Pelodiscus sinensis: one gene and its partners. The protein of the gene in region 1 purifies or fractionates together with the protein of each later gene. This does not show direct contact. Links are inferred from orthologs where the notes say so. Each region holds a gene or a part of one and is shown on either strand. Other genes may lie near its edges. The genes, in order: CCAAT/enhancer-binding protein beta, ATF2 and ATF3.

The links.
Region 2: the proteins of CCAAT/enhancer-binding protein beta (region 1) and ATF2 purify together in Homo sapiens (affinity purification with western blotting; 3 studies listed by BioGRID and IntAct, with this or other methods). This does not show direct contact. The link is inferred for Pelodiscus sinensis from reciprocal best matches to the Homo sapiens genes CEBPB and ATF2.
Region 3: the proteins of CCAAT/enhancer-binding protein beta (region 1) and ATF3 purify together in Homo sapiens (affinity purification with western blotting; 3 studies listed by BioGRID and IntAct, with this or other methods). This does not show direct contact. The link is inferred for Pelodiscus sinensis from reciprocal best matches to the Homo sapiens genes CEBPB and ATF3.

The regions. Positions count from the first base shown.
Region 1 is NC_134728.1:19,311,909-19,318,997, forward strand, and holds the start of CCAAT/enhancer-binding protein beta, read right to left. Parts: upstream 3,049-7,089; 5' UTR 2,848-3,048; coding exon 1,867-2,847; 3' UTR 829-1,866; intron 1-828. UniProt on the Homo sapiens protein: Important transcription factor regulating the expression of genes involved in immune and inflammatory responses. Also plays a significant role in adipogenesis, as well as in the gluconeogenic pathway, liver regeneration, and hematopoiesis.
Region 2 is NC_134717.1:44,025,649-44,033,633, forward strand, and holds the start of ATF2 (cyclic AMP-dependent transcription factor ATF-2), read right to left. Parts: upstream 3,005-7,985; 5' UTR 2,880-3,004; intron 2,873-2,879; exon of another isoform or gene 2,610-2,872; intron 1-2,609. UniProt on the Homo sapiens protein: Transcriptional activator which regulates the transcription of various genes, including those involved in anti-apoptosis, cell growth, and DNA damage response.
Region 3 is NC_134713.1:147,438,048-147,445,395, forward strand, and holds the start of ATF3 (cyclic AMP-dependent transcription factor ATF-3), read left to right. Parts: upstream 1-4,322; 5' UTR 4,323-4,615; intron 4,616-4,628; exon of another isoform or gene 4,629-5,677; intron 5,678-7,348.

The DNA of each region.
Region 1 (7,089 bases):
TGCCCAGATAAGACTGCAACTGAAAATTAAAAACAACTCCCTCGTTATACTACATATTTTTGAGTAAAATCAATATCCGTAAACACCAAATTCAAGGCTGCTCCACACCCATTCCCAATCACTATCCTTTACAGTAAAGCATAAAACAAGTTCAGATCCATTACCATTAAGGAAACAGAACATTTGCATCCTACTGTAAAGTACAGCTATAGAAGGATTAAGAAAGTTCTTTCCTGGTAGTTTTTGACATCTGGATTTAGAAGATGGATGTGCATAGAGTCTGTCTAGTATGCTGGAAAATGCTGAATAAGACCTGAACATGTATCCAACTCCCAGCACGTAATCAGCTCTAGGCTGTAAAATAATATTTTACAGGCAGGTACACAAAAGCAAACTACAGAGAGCCAAGACATGTGCAACTCACAGACCTCGACAAATCCCACATCTGCTAGCAGAGCCTCTGTTATCTTTGTCACAAAGTCCTTAGGGCTCTATACATACATCCTCCTATACCCAACCTTTTACCCAAACCACACACCTGACCCATTCACTACCATCACCACCGCACTCACCTTTCAAGAACTCAACTGTATCAGCAGCATTTTTTAGAAACAGTTTTTAAAAAGAAGGCTCAGTAGGAAATTATAGGGAGCATTGTCCACACATTTCTCACTGAGCCTAGTTATGTGAGAGGTCCCCAGTTCACAGCCATCCAACACAAAAATGACATGTTATCACTGTTCATTGCTGTAAAACCCCCAGCATCAGAAATACTGAGTCATGAAACTGAGAGACTACAAAAACTTGAGCTTTAAAGAAAAATCCCACCTTATTTCAAGCTTTCTCCTTCTCTTTTTCTTTCCTCCAACCTCTCCCCTGCTTTAATCTTGTCCTTTGCTTGGAGAGACTTTGTCAAACATTTTTCATGGTTTGAATGGGGAGAGTTATTAGTATTTCAGAAAAACCCAAGCAGAATTTAACTCAAGGGGTTAGAGGAAATTAAGTGAGGCAGCAAGAGGGAACTGGCTGTGGTTCCCACATCTGGTCTTCTCTGGTTCTCTCATTTTTTTTTCTTTTTTGCTGAGTCACAGAGAGAGTCAAAAGGCCAACAAAATGATTCCTGACACAGCCAGATCTAGCTGGCATTTGAACTGATTTCATTCTGGCGTTAAAGTGCCTTTAAAATAAAACAAGTTTCCTTTCTTTCTTTTTTCCTAGCCATAAAGTTTATTAAAATTGTTCATTAATGCTTCAAATGTAGCAAGAATGTCTATAGATCCCAAAATATACATATGTATTTTCGTATAGAAATAGAATTATTCTTTATAATAAAAAAAACCGCAGGAACATCTTTAACAGATTACTCAATCCATGACTGACAGTTACACGAGATTGCATCATGTGTACGCAGCATTCCCAGCCATGTTTAAAGGGTTGCATCATTCTCTGCTTTTTCTCTCGCTCTGTTTTAAATAACACGAACATTCAACAAACTCTGCACAGACAGAGGAAGGGGAAGGGTGCCTCGGTGGGGTTGTAACATTACAAAAAAATTACCATCGGCAACTGTCATTCCGCCACAAGATGCGGAGGGCCCTGGCGCCCGCCAGGGGAGTCCCCCTCCTAGGACCAACACTCAGGCTGCGGCGGAAGTTTCTTCCACCGGATTGCAAAGAAAAAAAAAAGACAAAAAAACAACAAACCAAACCTTTAAGTCTCTCCCCGTGTCTTCCCCAGCCCCGGTCCAATCTGTCCTCATAGAGGGGGGAAAGCAGCTACCAGACCGCCCCCTCCCCCATCCTTCCTCCCCAGTTTCTCCCCCTCCAACCCCAACCACTGCGGCTCTAGCAGTGTCCAGCGCAGGGGCTAGCAGTGGCCCGACGTGGCCAGCAGGGGCTCGGGCAGCTGTTTGAACAAGTTCCTGAGGGTGCTCAGCTCCCGGGAGAGCTGCTCCACTTTCTTTTGCAGCCGCTCGTTCTCGGCGGTCAGTTCCAAGACTTTGTGCTGCGTCTCCAGGTTGCGCATTTTGGCTTTGTCCCGGCTCTTGCGCACCGCGATGTTGTTCCGCTCCCGGCGAAGCTTGTACTCCTCGCTGTGCTTGTCCACGCTCTTCTTGCTCTTGTTCTTGGAGCCCAGCGGCCCGGCGTAGCCCGCTCCGCCGCCGGACTTGGAGGAATCGGACGGGTTGGGGGTGCCGGGGGGGCTGGAAGAGGACGAGGTGGACAGGTTGCCGCTGCTGCCGTTTGGCACCGACTGGTAACCGAGGTAGGAGCGCATGGTGCTGCCGTAAGGGGAGGACATGCCCCCTGCGCCCGGCCTGGCGCCCCCTTCTTCCTTCAGGGACCCTTTGCAAGAGTCCAGGGACTCGAAGACCGGCTCCACTTTGGTCTCCACGATCTGGGACGGGAAGCAGGGCAGCAGCCCGCCCGGCTTATGGGCCTGGCCGGCGCCCGGATGGCAGTGCCTGGCCAGGCTGATGTAGGTGAAGTCGGGCTTCTTGCCGCCGCCTTTATAGTCCTCGGCGAAGAGGTCGGAGAGGAAATCTTGGCTGGCGCCGCTGCTGCAGGGAGGCTCAAAGTTGCCCCCTGCTGCTGCTGCAGGCGGAGGCTGCGGCGGCGGCGCCTGGGATGCTGCTAAGGGGTCCAGGTAAGGGCTGAAGTCGATGGCTCTCTCGTGGTCCCCTACGGTGAGCTCGGTCATGGAGCGGCCCCCTGCCGCCCGCGGGTGCAGCTTGCTCAGCGCAGCCAGACAGTCCGCCTCGTAGTAGAAATTAGCTACTTCCATGGATTTAAAGGCGGGTGGCTGGATAGGGAGGCATGCTGGGTCCCAGGCCACCAGGCGTTGCATGAAAGCAAAGGGGAGTGCAGGGAGGAGGAGACAGCGCAGGGGGCCCCCCAGCCGCGGGATCAAGCTGCCGAAGGTGATGCGGGGGCCTCCAAATCCTGCCTCGGTCTCTGGGCTGTGCTGCCCACCTGGGCTGGCTCAGATCCGGCGGCGGCTGCTTCTCTTTCTCCGGACCATCTGGTTCTAGGTCCGAGTCCTAAAGTCTCTGACTTAGGAAAGTTCCTTTGCTGTTATTTATAGGGGCGGTGGATCCCATGGCAACAGGGACGTCACTGGCTGGCTGGCTGCCACATGGTGCACACTTTGTACAGTTGTACCGAGTGCCTCTCGCTCCGCAGGAGGCACTTGGCGTGTGGGACTCTGACCTCGTCATTCACCGGGGAAGCAGGGCAGGCGTCGCAGCCGAGGGGGCTCGTTTTCACCCTCAAGGAAGGGAGGGAAGATTTGGGCCAGAGACAGGGAAAACCGCCTTATACTTTTGCCAGCTGCTGTCACATCTACAGGCGATGTCACTGGACTATAATCACTCCTGATGGGACCTTCCGACATGGACACAGTAGCTCACACAGGGGGACGTTGCATCTGCCCATGTATCAATATGGACTAAACCCTTTTGCCCCTCTCCTCCCATCTAATATGTCCTCAGAGAGGAGGGGGAAAAGCAGATACCAGATTCCCTTCCCCCCCATCCTTCTTCCCCAGATTTCAGCCTCTTTCCCCTGCTTCCCCAATGCAAACCACTGGGTGTCCAGCTGTGGGACTAGCAAATGGCCAGATGTGGCTAGCAAAGGCCAGTAGGAGCTGGATCCATTGCATCTAAGGCTTATGATATCTGTAGATTTCGTCTGTAGGTCTCAACCTGTTTTACTGAGGTGGGTGAGTGTCTGTATCCCCATTTTACATACGGGGAAATTAAGGCACAGAGGTTAAGGGATTTGCCCAAGATAACTTAGCAAATCAGAGGTAGAGCCAGGAATAGAAGCCAGATCTTAATACCAATTCAATGCTCTGTGAATTTTATGGAGCTGGCAAGCAGAATTATCCCATACAGACACATTCAGAACTAGCTTGCCACAGTGGGTGTAAAAAGCATGTGGTATTGGGCGCAAACCAGGGTAAGGCACTGCCTCAGAAGAAGACCAGCAATTAGAAATGGTAGGCAAATCCAAAACTCCCCCATCACCTCTGTGTGCAGGGCTGACGGCCTTAATGTTTGGCCTGGCGTGTTTGCCTTATGTAGTATGTTGCAATTGTCAGAGTACACAAGTGATATGGAGTTTGTGCTCTTGCAGCTGTCTTTAAAATAAACGGGGGAAAGTGAGATATATTTGTGTCAAGGGACAGGATGCAATGATTTATTAATATATTAATGTATAAAGTAGCATTGACTTGGAGAGGCAATGGTAAATTTGTAAGAATACATTTTTATGCCTATTTTAATTAAAGACACCCACTTTGGGAATCAAACTTGCATTTTCCCTGTTACTCCCACATTTAAGGAACTGTATTTAAAATAAATGGGGGAAAGTGAGATATATTTGTGTCAAGGGACAGGATGCAATGATTTATTAATATATTAATGTATACAGTAGCATTGATTTGGAGAGGCCATGGTAAATTTGTAAGAATAAATTTTTATGCCTATTTTAATTAAAGATACCCACTTTGGGAATCAAACTTACATTTTCCCTGTTACTCCCACATTTACCTGTATACAAGCTGGTGATTCATGCTCAGAATAAAAGACATCAATTTAAAACAAAACATATAATTAAAGGAAGTAGGAGTGTCCTTCATTTCAGTAAAGAAGACCCAGTACTGCAGAGAAAATGACACTGCCTCATAGAATAATGTGAAGCAATCCTGCGGTGTGGGAAATATTGCAACGTTAAGCCAGAGGAACAGGTATTGCATTATACAATTCAAACAGTCAACTGTTCATGAATGTTCAAACCTCAGACTTTGAAAAGAGGAAGAATTCAAAAATCATGCTATGAACCATTTTCTTTCTTTCTTTCTTTCTTTCTTTCTTTCTTTCTTTCTTTCTTTCTTTCTTTCTTTCTTTCTTTCTTTCTTTCTTTCTTTCTTTCTTTCTTTCTTTCTTTCTTTCTTTCTTTCTTTCTTTCTTTCTTTCTTTCAACTTCAATAGCAAAGGTACACTAAAAGGTTTGTAGACTTCCAATATTTCTGTCTTTATGCAGTAGTTTTTGGTGAATTACATTTACTAATAAGCACATTTAGGGTATGTCTACACTGCGGGGGGTTTCTGGGATACCTCAGAAAAACTCTGCCACGTCCGAGGAATGTGTTTGCTCTTCCACCTTCTTTTGCAGAAGAGCAAATGCTCTCTTTCAGGGAACCCTGAATACCTCGTTCTATAAGGGATAAGGGATCCACCAAAAGAGGAGGCTTTTCTACCATTTGGCCCCATCTGGACTGGGCCAAATGGCAGAAAAGCCGCTTCCGGAAAAGTGATCGGAAAAAAAATTGCGTAGCTTTTTCCAACAAAGGACTGTAGTCTAGACCTAGCCTTAGTTGTAGAGCCGAGCTTGGACAAAGAATCCTGGATTCAGGTCTGGATCTGAATGTTGTGACTTGAGCCTATATCTGTATAGATCCAAACATCTCTACACAATGGAAATATTGGTAAGTTGCAGTGAGCCAGGGCTGCTTTTATGGTTATTTATATTCACATTCTGTGTTTTCATGCTCTTCAGGAGTTTTTGCTCTAGAAAGCTGTTCTATGCAGGTATTGAGAAGTAGATGCTCCTATTAGAGGGTGCTGAGCTCTGGTTTTTTCTCCAAGATGAAAGTGAAAGTTGCAGCACTTTTTATTAAGGCTCATCCAAAAAAGTTTTTGAAAACATTTTTGAAAGAAAACTGGGTTACTGACAAGAAGACATTTTTTGAAGTAAATGTCTGCTTGTTTAGAATATTTTTTGTTGTGGGGATGGGGAAGGCCTGAATTTTATTCTTTTTTTTTTTTTTTGTTCAAAATAAGTCATTTTTGAGAGAAGAAAGAAAGAAAGAAAGAAAGAAAGAAAGAAAGAAAGAAAGAAAGAAAGAAAGAATGACCCCCAATTCCCAACCAGCTATTTCTAATGCAATAAAACACAAGTTCTCACTGCTTTGTTTGAAGAAGATGGATGCAAACAGCGAAAGAGTGAAACAAAATGAATATAAAAGAAAAAAGACAAAGAGAACACAGCCTATTCCGATCTGTTTTACAGAGATCACTCTGGCTACGTCTACACTGGCACCCTTTTCCGGAAATGCTTAAAACGGAACAGTTTTCCATTATAAGTCTTTCCGGGAAAAGCGTGTCTACATTGGCAGGATGCTTTTCCGGAAAAGCACTTTTTCTGGAAAAGTGTCCGTGCTAATGTAGACGCGCTTTTCCGCAAAAAAGCCCCGATTGTCATTTTCGCGATCGGGGCTTTTTTGTGGAAAAGAAATCTGTGCTATCTACACTGACCCTTTTCTGGAACAGTTTTCCAGAAAAGGACTTTTGCCCGAACGGGAGAAGCATGGTTTTTCTGGAAAAGCACTGATGATTTTACAGTAGATCGTCAGTGCTTTTCCGGAAATTCAAGGGGCCAGTGTAGACAGCTGGCAAATTATTCCGGAACAGCGGCTGATTTTCCAGAATAAGTGGCCAGTGTAGACACAGCCTCTGGTTTTCCCAGCCTATCTTGGATTCTGCTCCCTGATTCACAGCTCTACTGTAGCATCACAGGAGCACCTGGTTTCCCAAGCTCAGATCCATGTTTTCCCAAGCTCAGATCCATGCCAAAGCATTGCAGAAACTTTTCACTCAGAGACTTGCTCTATCTTGATTTACAGTGGTTCCAAGATCTCCAATTCTGCATTCCCATATCTTTCTACAGTCCAGAAAGAGCTGCTGTCAGCGTTGGACAGACCACAACTGTATAATGCCAACAGATCAAAGAGTGAAGAGTTCATAGGAAGTTCTGCCTACCAAAATGTCACTATTTACTGCTCTGTAGTAAGAGTCGGACTGCATTTGTATAAAAACTCCAAATACTTCCCACTGCAAATTGTTACCTTGTTCTTTATTACTTGCATTGCAATTAGTCATTAGAGTTCTCAGTGAGATCAGGGCTCCACTGTACTGGGCACTGTACAGACATATAGTAAGAGGCAGATTCAGTCACAGTGTTGCAATGTAAAAGGCAAGACAACACTTCAAACAAACAGGAGGAGAGAGGGATGGGAAAGGAGGGA
Region 2 (7,985 bases), on another chromosome or scaffold:
GGCGGACATTGACTAGTCAATTGACTATCTGATAAGCATTTGCTTATCGGATAGTCAGCTAGTTGACTAGTCTTTAATATCCCTAATAGAAGTGTAAGTTAACAGTGTCCGATACCATGAAACTCTATATTTGGTGTACACACACACACACACACACACACACCAGTAACATCCCATAGCTCCAAGGAGGAACATGGACCTATGTGTACCAAGATGCAAGAAAGCAGTACCTGCCTACAAGGGCTTACAGTGTAATTTAAGACAAGACATAGCAAGAGAAAGTATCAAGCAACACGGAATGGTTGAAGAGACTACAGGGTCACTGTAATAAGATGATGCAGTTAAATAAGCTAGCTAATGCACACAACTTGACTTCAGGAAGTATCATCATATTATGCTTGTCACAATGAAAGTCTTCAATGGGTTCTTTACAAATGGGAATTTGATAAACATTTTTTGAAAATGGAAGCATACTAGGACGAGTTCAGATTAAATTTCAGAAAAGCAATACATATCATGAAATAGATAAAGATTGGCACATGGCTTTTATTTGTGATCACAAATATCCACAGACAAAAAAAAGATGAACTACAATGGCTAAAAATGGAATTAAATCTTGACATAACAGGCACATCAGAAACATGGCCAAATGTCAAAAGTTAATGGAATACAGTATTATCTGGGCATATCCTATCCAAGAACAAACTGTGTGGGAGCAGCAGTGAACCCATAAAGATTTAATATAATCAAATAAGATAAAAATTTCTGAGTAAAAAGGAGGATACATGGCAGAATCTGTATAGTTATAAAATGCCTAGTGAAGACTACAGATATCAACAAAATTAAACTTACCAACCTCTAAGTCTGAGTAAAGACATTGTGTGTGCAATGAAGATCAAAATATTAATGTACAACTTTAACTACCCAAATATAAAATGATAAATAGGTTTCCTACCCTCCTGCACAAAATGCATTTTTATTAATGTAAATTTCTGACAGTAACCTTTAATGTAACAATAAGCCCCAATAATGTTTTAGATTTTTTTTGTTCAAGTTCACTCATTGCAAAAAGGCCCTTTGAAATATGCTAAGTGTTATTTTCATGGCGCTTTAGTAGATTTTATAACTAAGAGATTAGAGCATTATTCTACCTAATCCAGTAACTTCTTCTCTGGTTCTAGTTCCGCAAACACTTGCTTTAAATAATTGAGCTACTACCAGTAATGAAGTAAAGTTAAATTTATGCATAAGTGTCTGCACTATTGGGCCTCTAATAGCAGCCACTACCAGATACTTCAGAGAAAGGTTTAAAAAAAGTCTTGCATTTCACAATTATGGAAACACCTGTCCACAGGGTTCCCCCCCAGCTGCTACTGGTTGTCTTATACTCTAAAGCAATAGCTGTTTTCCCCTCCTAAAATATTTCAAATGGAAGCACAGAGCTCTTTGGAAATTTTAGACATGGTTTGCAGTTCCCCACGCCCCCGCAGGAGTCCATGGACCACAGGCTGAAAACCACAGCCATCGAGCATAATTTGAATCTTATACCTTTTTACCTTATCTAAACTAAATGTGGATATTCTCAGTAGACACAAAAATGGCTATTTTAATCTGCCTAAACTCTTGCACTCAGAAATTGCTTCTGCTGTTGTCCCAAACTAAATCCAAGATTCATTGACTAGGATATAAAGGGAATAAAGATTTTACTAAAGGCAGGGAAAGGATGGAAGATAGAAAACAAAAAGCTCAGAATTCAATTATTTGGAGAAAAAGATAAGCATAGAATTTACTTTTTTGGGGGGGGGGGGGGAGAGAGAAAAGGCATCCAAATTACATGAGATACAAGAGTATCCCAACTCATTTCATTTGCAAAGACAGTATTATTTTGTGTGAGGGAAACCAAAAGATTGCAAATTGTAAAATAAATTTACTAGGTGGTGGGAGTGGACATGACAACACATTAAGTTCCTAGTACCTACAATAGTGAACAATCCTGAGGCAAGAGATGGGCCCCTCAGGGAAGATGTTCACAACCTTCAATATAACTATCATGCTTTGAATGTCTGGGCATCAGCTCTGCCTCTCATAAAGAGTCCTCCAAAATGGGCCACAATAAGTGAAAGGTTATTGAGAGGACCCTAAAGAAAATACCTACAATTGGCAGCACAGTGTCGAGCTCCCACTCAACACAGTCACAATGGTGATGTGCCCCAGCAGAGCACTACAACCCAGGCCAGGCTGGAAGTAGGTACAGGCCACACAATCGCATCGGCACTTACGGGCAACAGAGCGACAGCCCCCTCTCTGGCTCTGCCCTCCCCTTTTAGCACTTGCTGAGGGCACCTGGGTCTCCTCTCCCTCCACCCGCCCCTCTCTACTCTCAGGCAGTCACAGGCGAAGAGAGGAACCTTCCCGCTTCTCCTTTGGCTCGGTCCCGTCGCAGCAGGGGAAGGGGCAGGCCCACTTTACCCTTGCAGGGGAGAGCGCCCCCAGCGCCCCCGGGGACGGGTGGGAGCCGGCTGTATCTATCAGGGCAGCCCGCTTCCGGGGAAGAAGCCTCGCCCTGCTCCCCAGCCCCCTCCTTGGGGCAGCCGCAGGGACCAGCCTACCTCGGGGGCGGGTAACAGTCTCCTGCGCGCTGGCTCCGGCCCGAACCCCGCGGCTCTAAGGGTGGCGGGGGCCACAGGCGGGGGTCTCCGTGGAGAGCGGCGGCGCCATGTTAATACCTCCCGGGCACCCCCACTTAGCCCAGCCCAGCCCGGCCCGGCCCACGCCGCCCCCTTCCCTCGCCCGCTAGGGCCGAGGCGCCGCTACCCACAACACCCCGTTACAACGCGCCAGAGGCGCTGCCCTTCGCCGCGCTCTGTTTACAAACTCACCCGGGGAGAGGGGCCGAACCGCACATTAAAGGCCGGGTCCCCCATAGGCTTCCGTCCCTTCTCGCGATAACTCACTGGCATCCCCCCCTCCCCAGGCCGAGGGAAAGGGGTCACGTGATCCACGGGAGTTGCAGCTGGCGGTAGCATAGAGAAGGCCCCTGATTGGTTTGCAGGGTGGGGCCCTCTAGTGTCTGGTTGGCCGGAAGCGCTCAATTGTGGGGGCGGGGATGGACGCCTGTAGGTGGCGTTTTGCTAAGCTGGTCTTCTCAAAGTCGAGCGGCTGGAAGGGCAACGTTAGCGCCGCGTCTCTAACGACTGGCCCAGGGCTGCTCCCGCGTCCGGGTTAGAACGGAAGATAATGCGGGGGAGGAGGGGCATGACAGAGGAGATTTAAAATCGACCTCGTGACCGTTTTGTGGTAATTCAAAGTGCATTGTCTTTGGGGGCAGGGGCCGTCATTTTGTTCTGTGTACAGCCCTGGCAGCACAGTGGGGTCCGGGTGGGTCCCTGACTGAGGCTCATCGGGGCTATGATAATACAAATGAATTATGTTAATTAGTGTTACCCCACTCACGTTAACTCTCTACTATCCTGGGCCTAACACAAGGGCAGCAACACTGCAAACAACGGTTGTTCTTTGAGACCCTGTGGGATAAAGATTATAGTAGGAGCTTTATATAAATGTAAAATAATTTGTGATTGCTCATTGGGCTTGAAAGGCTCAGAGCAGGAAGCAATGGGGATCTTATACTTTCCAAATAATAGATGCTGGGAGTGCTAGAAGTGGTTTCCATCATAAACAGGGTTTGTTAAGTGGTTCTCAAAACTCTTGACTGTAGAGGCTGTGTCTAGACTGGCAAGTTTTTCCGCAAAATCATCTGCTTTTGTGGAAAAACTTGCCATCTGTCTACCCTGGCCACTTGAATTTCCGCAAAAGCACTGACGATCTCATGTAAGATTGTCAGTGCTTTTGCGGAAATACTATGCTGCTCCCGTTTGGGCAAAAGTCTTTTTCTGAAACACTTTTGCGTAAAAGGGCCAGTGTAGACAGCAGAGATTTCGTTTCCGCAAAAAAGCCCCGATCGCAAAAATGGCGATTGGGGCTTTTTGCGGAAAAGCGCGTCTAGATTGGCCACGGATGCTTTTCCGCAAAAAGTGCTTTTACAGAAAAGCTTCCTGCCAATCTAGATGCGCTTTTGCGAAAATGCTTTTAACGGAAAACTTTTCTGTTAAAAGCATTTCCGGAAAATCATGCCAGTGTAGACGTAGCCAGAAAGTATACCAAGCCAACACCCTTGTTCCAACTATACCACTTTTCTTTCATAGCCATTAGCGCCAAGAGATAATTTGTTCTGTGGGGACAGGAGGTAAGAACAGACAGAAGAGGAGAGACAAAGGTGGATCAGAGACCGAAGACTGCCACAGATGTGTGCCACTGGAAAAATCTGTACAGTAAGGCTACGTCTAGATTGCATCCCTTTTTCGTAAAAGGGATGCAAATTAGACGTATTGCAATTGCTAATGAAGCGGGGATTTAAATCTCCCCTGCTTCATTAGCATAAAAATGGCTGCCGCTTTTTTCAGCACGGAGCTTTGCCAGAAAAAAGCGCCAGTCTAGACGCGGATCTTTCGGAAAATAAAGCCTTTTCTGAAAGATCCCTTATCCTCTTATTTAGAAAAGAGTGATCCATTAAAAAGGAACAGGATAAGTCTTCTGGTTAAGCTTATTCAGCATGGATAAGTGATCCAAAGTTAGATACTATCTCATAATAGCAGATTGAAGTAATTCAGGATTACTTGGCAGGTTGTCTATTGAAATTATAGTGTGTAATCATGCCCAGAGGTTATCCTAACTTAATGCACAGAGGTAGAAGTGAAGTCATGTTACAGTGTGAGCATTTGAATGAGCAGATGCTTTAACACTGAGAAGCGAGGTAGGCGTACTGCCGGACAAATCACATTTTAATTTGGACCAATTCCCAATGTTATCTGGAAGAGTATCTTGGATACAATTTGGTTCTGAGTCCATTGTGGCAGGAAAGCAAGAGTTGCGTTGCTCAACTTTTACTAATAGGTAGAAGGGCATGGTTTTGGATATATAAATATTCTTATTGCAGGGGTTTGGAGTAAACTAATAAAAGTTGCAGTCATTTGTTAAACCAAAAAAACAATGTTCAGAGCCTTTATTTACAACATGGTATAGTTGTAAAAATTAGCTAAGGCATGCTCAAGAAGCAAAATGACCACTGAATGACTAAATAAAACAAATGTATAAACATATGACAATTATGTACAAAAATTACACTTCAAAACTGGTAGGGATCTGGAATACCAAACTATATAATAATTTCATTATGCCTTATGAAAATTCTGACAAGGAAGAATTTAGAAATTTTCATGTGCAGGCCTTATCCTCATATCATTCTTACCTACTGACACACAAGGAGTATTTTCTGAATTATAACTAGAAAAACTTTATAATTATTGAATTTGTATTTTCCATGCTTTTAAATATAATCGTTAGTCATTATGGGTGCGTCTAGACTGGCAAGATTTTGTGCAAAAGCGAGTGCTTTTGCACAAAAACTTGCCAGATATCTACACTGGCAGCTTGAATTTGCACAAGAGCACTGACGTTCTAATGTAAGAATTCAGTGCTTCTTGCACAAATACTTTGACACTCCCGCTCAAGGATAAGCCCTCTTGCGCAAGAATACTTGCGCAAGAGGGCCAGTGTAGACAGGCACCTTAATTTTTTGTGCAAGAAAACCCGATGGCTAAAATGGCCATCAGAGCTTTCTTGCGCAAAAGTGCGTCTATACTGGGCACGGATGCTTTTGCGCAAAAACATCCGTGCCAATCTAGACGCTTTTTTGTGGTAATACTTTTTATGGAAAAACTCTTCCGTTAAAAGTATTTCCGCAAAATCATGCCAGTCTAGACACAGCCTTAAATGTATGTGATCACTCTCAGCATTGCTCCAAGTTTTTTCACTTATTGGCCAGTTTGGTTCCTGGCAATTTTGAGGGACTAGGTCACTTCTGTCAACAATCTCCATAGGGGTCAGACAAAGTTGCTAAATACCTTGTATTCTATGAAAATGAACCACAGGGAATGTACCCAGAAATCGCTACATTTCAGGGTTACACCAGCATCATCATCAGTATTGATGTACACTGAGTGCAACTGCCCACGTGTAACACTCAATTGTCATTGTTCTGTATGACCGAGCTCTAACAACTTGTGATGTTCAAAATTAGACTGCGGTGATTTTTAAGTTGACAATGTCCTTTTAAATAAAATACAAAATGTTAGCTAAAACATTTTGAATTTTAATTAGAAAATTCCAGCAACTACAGTACTAAAAGCATCTTTGTGGCTGATCCAAGACAGCAAGGAAAGTTTTATAAACGAAGCAGGAAAATGTTATGTAATTTAAACATTGCTTATTGCTACACTGAAGTGGTAGATATATTTTTAGCTCTTCAAAATGCAGTCATAAGTTTTACAAATACTTGGACTGCAAATTATATATATAACAAAATGTTAGTGTTATCAGCAGAACAAAGTGTAGTCCACATGGTCACCTGAATCCAATTAATATTAGTGAGTCTCACAGTTAACAGGGCAATGAAATTTCCTCAAGACTACAATGCCTAAATAGGGCTGGCTGGTATCCGGTTTTGAACTGGAGAGTCCAGTATTTGAGCTTTCTGTTCGGGAAACAAATTGAGAAAATATAAATGTCCAGTATTTTCTAAATAAGATGTAATGTAGATTGTGATTTAATGTCACAATTTTTGTTGAAACCATCCGGCAACCTTATGCCTAAAATGTAATGGGGAAAACAAAAGGATCTTTCTTTACAAGTTTGTCTTTTTGAACTAGAATGTTTATGTCCTTAAACAATGCAGCAAAAAAGTATTGCTATAAATTTTAACTGTTTCCTTTAGTTATGTAAATTTTTATTTTAATTATACCTAAAGCAATAGCTCAATTACACGTAAAAATTGAATCTATATTTCACATTTAATTGACGTATCTGAGGCTTGTTGATCATTAAGTGACAGTAAGTATTCCATAATGGGTCAGACAATGTCGACTCAAATCGTATTTCCATCTGAAACATTTAACTTTCGTAGATACAAATGTAGCAGCTAAAATTCCTCTGAGAATAAAGAATAAAATGATTTTTTTCCAGTTTGTCAATTAGTGAATTATCTGACCTCTCAGTCCTCATCCTCAAAGGAAATCTGTGCATCATCTTCAAAACACAAACATGGGAGCTTAAACTCACAACTTTGTTAGACTAAAAATCATGGACTCAGTAAAGACAGTGTTTTACATGAGCCATACATTCAATCTATAATTCACCCAATCCTCCTTCTTTGTCCTCTGACTACATAAGTGTTAATCCTCCAACTTCACCTTGCATGGGTGCATTACAACATTTGTGATGCTAAACAATCTGTCCATCTTGTATTTAGCTGTGATACTGTGAATACTTTCCCCAGACATGAAGAAGAGCTCTGAATAAAGTGCAAAAGCTTGTCTTTCAACAGCAGAGGTTGGCACAATAAAAGATCTCACTTCCCCCATCTTGTCTCTCCAATTAGTTGTATAATCATTATCACAGAAAAAAGAACAGGAGATGCATGAGAAGTGTCTGCAAGCATGTTTGGTAATGTTATGTATGGGTCCACCAAAAGAACCCTTTAAATAACAGCAGACCCAGGACTGTTTTTTTTCAGTGTGTAAAGTGCTTCACACAATGAGGTCTTAAGACATGACTGGGATTCTTAAGCTTCAGGGGGTAGCTGAGTTAAGTTTGTACAGAAAAAAACAACAAATAGTCTGGTAGCACTTCATAGACTAAAAAACATGTAGATGGCATCATGAGCTTTCGTAGGCAGTCCATTCTGGTCATCTGAAGAAGTGGGCTGTGCCCACAAAACCTCATGATGCCATCTACATGTTTTGTTAGTCTATGAAGTACTACCAGATCATTTGTTGTGAGATTTTTAACTACAGCAATACAAATTAAAAAAAAAAAACCTTGTTAAAAACACCCTTAGAGCCATATTTTTTCCAAGAGTTCTGTTAAAA
Region 3 (7,348 bases), on another chromosome or scaffold:
GATCCGCCGCCCGTGAGATCCGGGGCGAGAGAAGCCCTGTTCGTAAGTGCGGATCCGATGTAAGTCGGGGACTGCCTGTACAGTATTGGAACAGAAATACACTATATAGGGGAAATCATAGCAAAATGACAGCCTAGCATACTCTAGAATAGCTCTTCTAAAGAGCCCAGTTCTGTGATGGCTTTACATTGCTGTAGCCCCGCTGAGTTCAACAGAGTTGTTCTTCAGTTGCATGTGGAAGGGAGAGGAAAATTAGGTCTTTTATGTTTATAGTAATATCAAAACTTAACAGTAGCAAAGCCACAAAAGACTCAGGAAATCAGATTTCATCTAAGAAGTCATTAAGCAGGACTGATATTTAGGAAAGTAAATTTTATATATTTATATTTCATGAGGCCTGTGATACCAGAGGAAATCATAGGTAATACCACTGCTTAATGAAGCTTCTCCACCAGAAACAACAAATGAGAGATCAGAATTGGGTCCCAGATTATATATCTTTTCTCTGGCAGATATCCTACAGCTCCATACGTTTAATAGAAGAGGGAATGCAGAAAGCTTTTGCTAAGAGGATTTGAGCCTTATTGCTTAGCTATGTTACTGGTGGCCATATTTATGTTTTACTGATATGGACACTGAAAATGAAGTGTGGAGGTGGGAGAAGCAGGATTTGGGCCAGAAGATGGTGAATGAAAGAATCCTTTTCCCTGTGCCAATTCAGGATGGAGATTTTCTGAGAGTCCACAATAACAGAGCAGCAGGTTATGAGTTAGTGTAATTGCTCTTTGTAGAAATACCCAGTGAGTAATGCTATAAATGCTTTGGTGATCATATACTGTACCTAGATCAAGACTTAGCGGCTACATCTAGACTGGCATGATTTTCCGCAAATGCTTTTAACAGAAAAGTTTTCCGTTAAAAGCATTTGCGGAAAAGAGTGTCTAGGTTGGCCCGGACACTTTTCTGCAAAAGCACTTTTTGCGGAAAAGCGTCCGTGCCAATCTAGACGCGCTTTTGCGCAAAACAAATCTGAGCTGTCTACACTGGCCCTTTTGCACAAAAGCTTTGCGCAAAAGGACTTTTGCCCGAACGGGAGCAGCATAGTATTTCCGCAAGAAGCACTGATTTCAGACAGTAGGAAGTCAGTGTTCTTGTGGAAATTCAAGTGGCCAGTGTAGACATCTGGCAAGTTTTTTCTGCAAAAGCAGCTGCTTTTGTGGAAAAACTTGCCAGTCTAGATACAGCCAGCAATAATAATTAAAACTGACTTCAGCTCACTGAAACTATTACTGTTTCAGTCAGATTGATCCCTGCGTTTTCTGGTAACACTAGAGAAAGGAAACCTAAGAGGATCAGGGAATATTCAGATAAAGGAAGGTGGAAAATATTTGTGAACAGTTGAAAAGCAAAACTACCAAAAGTATTTAAGCATCTTGTGGATCTATTGTTTGCTTTAACATCCTCACATTCTTGATGGATATATCAGTTCATATTAAGTTGAAACCAGAACAAACCCTACATCTTTGCTGTCTGAGGTCAAGGAGAATTTGACATTGAAGTAAATAGGAACAGGGTGGGGCCCTGTATGTTAATGAAACAAAGTGCAAAACTTTGGTTTCATTTTTATTATAGTTTCATTTTCTTCTGACTGAGGAATTTCATGCCATGATAGTGTACAGAACACTAACTTTAAAACATGCATATTTTCTCCCTCTATGTTTATTCTAAGGGGAGGAGCTCTCTCATATCAATAATTTAATACATAACATACCTATTTTATGGTCAACAGCATTTTTCATATTAAACATATTTCCTTGCCAATGATGATAGTAGAAGTAATGAAGCTGCATGAAGCAAAAGTATCGGTCTGCTTAGTATTATATTATACCTGTGAAACACTGATCATGACCATTTTTAGTGACACTTAAAACAGGTTAACAATATTTATCTTTGTTAGGTGTTTCTCACCAATCTGAAAGATGAAGTAATGTATTTAATCTTCCAAATTGCCTCATTTGTGTGACTTTGTTCAATTTAATTAAAAATGTTCAAAATAAAATTCCATCGATAATACAAGTAGGTAAACAATTCTGGGTAGTTGCTGAAGTTTCTGTATTACACTCAAGGTAATGTAGCAAAATAGCTTCCCATAATAACTCCATGTTTCCAGAACTTTCCACAACATTTACATTTTGGGATGAAATTCTCCATGTTTACCTTCTGTCTTTTTGTGAGACTGAGCAAAGTCCTTCCAGCTATTTTTGGATGTGGCATGAGTGAAAAAAATACCCCTTTGCTGTATAAACAATTTAACTACAAGGCTACTTTAGAAAACAGCTGAAGTTTGAAGCTTGAAACTAGTCATAGACAAGTCCCCAGTCCCCAAGAAAGAGTAATTTTTGTTGTTGTTGTTAGTAAAATAATTGCAAAAATAAAATTGGATTTACAAAAATAAAACCTTGTGAAGGGTGTAAACTGGCTGAGATATTTACAGTTCCTGCAGATGTGTACTTAAAGAGGGGTGACAACTATATGAGTGCACAGTTAGGTTGTGTGCAGCAACTGATGTTTTAGAACTTGCAAGGGATCTAAAACTGAACAAATAACTGGAATAAAGAATTTGGCATTAGAATCTATAAATCCAATTATACCAGGTCAGGGTGTTACAAGGAACAAATGTACCTACACACTGCAAAGATGATCTAAAGTATGCAAGCCAGATTTTCTCTGTCTAACCCCACCCCATTCTCCTTAAAAAGTAGGAAATTAAATGCAAAATGCCATTGTTAATGAAGTGTTTAAATTTGTGAAATGAAGCCATGCAAAAGTCATGACATTTACAATTTTAAAGTTATCAATGTTAGATTATCCCCAATGCACATAGATAGCCCCTTATTAAATGCAGACCTTAAAGTAGTACTCTTGCGTGTTAATACATTGTATGTATTTACTGATGTATATCATAATATGCATACACACTCAGTACACAAAGTGGCTGAATTAACATGGCTTGAATGCCTGAGTTTACAAGTTAAAGTTGTGTTCATGCTATTTTTGTATGTATATGTAAGTATAATGTTGTGTATATGTGTGCGTGTCTTCGTGAATACTGAAGTGCATTAAATTATATCTTAACTTTGTTTCGTGGCTGTTAGAAAATAAAGTAGGATGTGAACTGAAAAAAGGAAAACCTTCTCCTCCCCGTAAGGCTTCAGTCTTTCTCCTCCCTGAAGCCAGAAGGATGTTAGTTGCTATGTTTTAAAAAGGCTATTTTTTTAACTCCCTGATGTATCAGGAAAGGGGGTCTTTAATCTTTCCGGCTAAAAATTAACGTCAGCCCACTCAGTTTGTGCACTGACCATTTAGGGGCTCTGCAATCGGGGAAGCACATCGCTGTGACGAAGCTCATATTTTCAATTCTTTTGCAAGCTTCAAAAACTAGCGCAAAGAGGGTTTTGCTTTTCTGAATAAAAAGCCCCTCTCGCCCACACCCCCGATTCCTAAGAAAGCCTGGGAAGATGCGGAATAACACACGCCCCGTGCCGAAGCGCCCGAGGAAGCACGTTCCCGCCGCACGGGGGAAGGGAATGGAGAAGTGAATCTTCTCTAGAAATCATGATCGGACAGTTTTTGGAGGGGAAGCTACCTGGGCTTTCTGCCCTTTCCAAAAGGACCTCGAGTCTCTCAGTGAAATGCCCTCCCCTCCGAGGGCTACGGCCCTTCTCTCCTCGCACACCTCAGCTAAATCTCCAGTGGGGACGAAAACTTCCAAGAAGGCGCGAGAGGCACCGGCGCGGATTGTGGCAGTGTCAACGCGCGAGCCCCACGCTGCTCCCCTTGCACAGGGGCAGCCCAGCAAGGCTGGCGCTCGTACACACCCTGTTCACACACACAGCGGCGCGGTAGCAGGGAGGCTAAAGGGCCGCACAAATGCCTGATGCACAATTGCACGTTCCCCCCCTACACACGGAGAGATCGGATGGGGGATTTTCCAGCCGTTAAATGGCTACAGAATCCAAGCCTTTCCCAAAGGAGCCCTTCAACGGACCAGTTCTACCCCTAATTCCGCCTGTCTGTCATTGCCATCCCGGCGCCGCAGGCTGCCAGCGATTCGCAGTCACGCAGGTAGCTTGGTCTCCATTGGCTCCGCAGGGTGACACGCAGCTGCCGGAGTTAACATCTGGCGGCGCGCCCAGGCGGCAGCAGTCCTCTTATGGGGCGTGTGCGTTCCAGCCAGCTCCCTGGCTCCTCCTCCCGGCCGGGACCGGGAGCGTCTTGCATCACCGCCCGGTGCGCGCTGCTCCCCCGCCTCCTCCGGCCCGGCTATTAATAGCATGACATCAGCCAGGCGCTCGCCGCCAGAGTAAATACCAGCGCTGCCCACTCGCCTATATAAGGAGGGTGATGCAACCCCTCGCACAGGCAGATTCAGGCGCGTCCGGGGAAGGAGGCTCTGCTCTCCTATCGGCGAACTCGGAACTGCCCGGCAGCGGCGCCCCCAGCCCGAGAGACGCGGGCAGCCCCTGCTTTCAGCGCGGGCTCGCTCCTCGCTGCGCTCGGCCCCTCTGTGCTTGTCCCGGCAGCGGAGAGGCGCCGTGAGAAGCGGCGGGGAAAGGTCAGTGAGCTGGGGAAGGGAGGCGGGCGGGCGGCGGCGAGGAGACCGCGACTCAGTCAGCTGGTTCTCCCGGGAGCGTCGGCACTTTGCTAAGCGACTGATCCCAGCCAGGGGACAGGGTCTGCCCGGGCCAGTCGGGCGGGCTGGCGGCTTTGCGATCGGATCGTCCGCAGAGCCACAAGTGAAAGCAAAAGCTCGCTGGGCAGAGCGGCGTTTCTGAGTCCTGGAGCCACGCGCACCAAAGAGACCCCCCCCCCCTTCTGCCGCTTGGGAGCCTGGCACGCGCCCTGCCCCCGGGCACGGCTCGGGAGCCCCCTGTGACACCGAACAAGTTCTCACAGGAGTCCGAGCCCCCCTTGCGCGTCACCGGCCGGAGCCTTGGGCTTTATCAGTCGAGCCCGGAGCGGCACTTGTGGAGCGGGGCAGATGTCGCATCTGGCCACCCCCTTCTTCCGGGCGGCGAGTTTGCCGATGTGAGCGCCCGCAGTTGCTCTCTTGGCTGCTTCATTCGTTTCTCTTGGGCCGGGGTAGCGCCGGAGGCCACGGGGAGGAGGGGGGGGGGGCGCATCGCTCGACAGTAAGAGCGCGGCTCTGCTTGTCGGCGGGACGCCCATCGCTCCTGAGCTGCTGCCAAAGTTTTGCCAAAGTAATGTAGAGAAAAAAGTTAGTGACGAAGCTCAAGGCACCCTCTGACTTCTGTAATGAGGTAACGGCGATGACTGTGTCGGTTGAGATGAAGGATACACATAACTCCCAAATGAAGCTCTTTTCCTTTGTTATTTTGGGGGAACAGTGACCTCTTTTGATTAGAGTACACACAGACAAGAAGTCATGTCATCCTGCGAGGGGATGAAGAATTAGCGAGAAAGTCACTATTAGACAATAATCGTCGTTTTTTCTCCACTGACGACTAACCCGAACAAGATCAGTTGCTGAACTGTTGCCTAACTAGGATTGAGTGACGACGCAACAGAAAACTGTTACACACAGAACCAGTTTCCTGTGTGAAATCGATTTTCTTGGTAGTAACAACAGCAGAGACGTTCGAAGCCTGAAAAAGAGGTAGTTATGATCTGGAATGTCAGAATCCTAAAGGCCAATTTGAGTACACAGAGGTTGTGAACGGTAATTGCCCTTTAATGCCCTGTCAGATTAACCTGTTTGGCTCTCATCGTTTATTACGTCAGCAGCCGAGGAAAATGAATTTATCTAGGGAAATACAGCTAAGTCATCTGCAGTTAAACCAAATGGAAGCTAGGAGTGAGGGTGCCCTGAAGTGTTAATTATTAATATTAGCATTAAACTTGAGCACACTTTAAATAACATAAATGCTAGTTTGGACTTCCAAGAATGTGTCCTGACACAACTTCTCAGAATGGGAGAGGGGAAAACTAAAAGCAGTGGGGAAATTATTAATAAAATAACTATAAATGGAAGGAAGCATTAGTTTTGAAAATTATCTCTGAATAACTAGCAATGTATCCTGTCTGTTATAGAAACAAAACTGTCTAATGGGATCTTATTTGTAAAACTTATTATTTTGTCTTGATCATAAGATTCTGATGGAGGAGTGAGCACTTGCTCCAGGGATGAATTGAGCCTCTGTGGTCCTATTCTGTGGGGTGTTCAGCACCTCCATCTTCCACTTCAGTGAAAGATAAAGATGTTCAGCACCTTACCAAGTGGGATCTATGTAGTTGTATGGACTTGTAGTTAAACAGAAAGGCCTAGATGTCATTTTTTTTCTTGGGTTAATTATAGAGCAAGTCCAATTGTGTTAGTGCTTTACAAAGTGAACCAGGTCCTTGACCCAAATAACTTATAGCCTTAGATAATTTATAGGAAAATGACTGGGGAAAAAAGGATGCAAAACAAAATGTTTAACTTTTGCTTGTTCTATCTTGAATAAAAAATGTTTCTAACCAGAGGATGATATCAACATTACAATTTTATATCTATTTACCAAGTATACATCTAGCATTCTGTACTTCTGATGTAGTCTACCCAGAAGTGATGTCAGTGATTAACTAGTGGCTGGGCTGGAGCAACTTCTCGCCCACCTGTGGTGCAGTGCGGTAGGCCCAGCTGGACTAGCCCCCAGCCTCAGGCAGGCTGCAGCTCAGCCTGGCCCGCCATGCTGTGGGCGGTGGATGCTCCATCCAGCTGAAGCAGCCTCCACCTGAAGTAGGCCCTGACCACAGTCTCTGTACTTCTGATATGGTTCTGATTTATCATTATTTGTATTCTCATAGTGTCTGGAACCCCATGGAGCAGAACCCTACTGGGCTAGGCACTATACAAACAAGACAAAAAGACAGTCTCTGTCCCAAAAGAGCTTACAAAACAGGTCACCAAAACCAAAAAAGTTGAAAGTAGCAGCAAAATCCACCAAAGAAAAACTAACCCAAAACAATATTCCCACAAACCTACCTGCCCACAATCTTCAGCCCCTTCATGAATAGCAGTGTCTTTCAGGATGTTGGAAGGTCAGGAGACTTGGGCAATTTCAGGCCAAGGGGAAGTGCAAGTTCTGAAGTCAAGGGTGACTGTAGAAAACAGTCTCCCATTACTCTTAAATCATGGAGACATCAGTAAAAGCAAATAAAGTTATAAAAGGGATTCTAGCAAAATTTTGTTGCTAGTGGATATTTGAAAATAACTCCTCCAATTACTAATGAAAATCCAGCATGGACAATATTTCTCATGATATTTTCCATTAAAACTGTGAACATT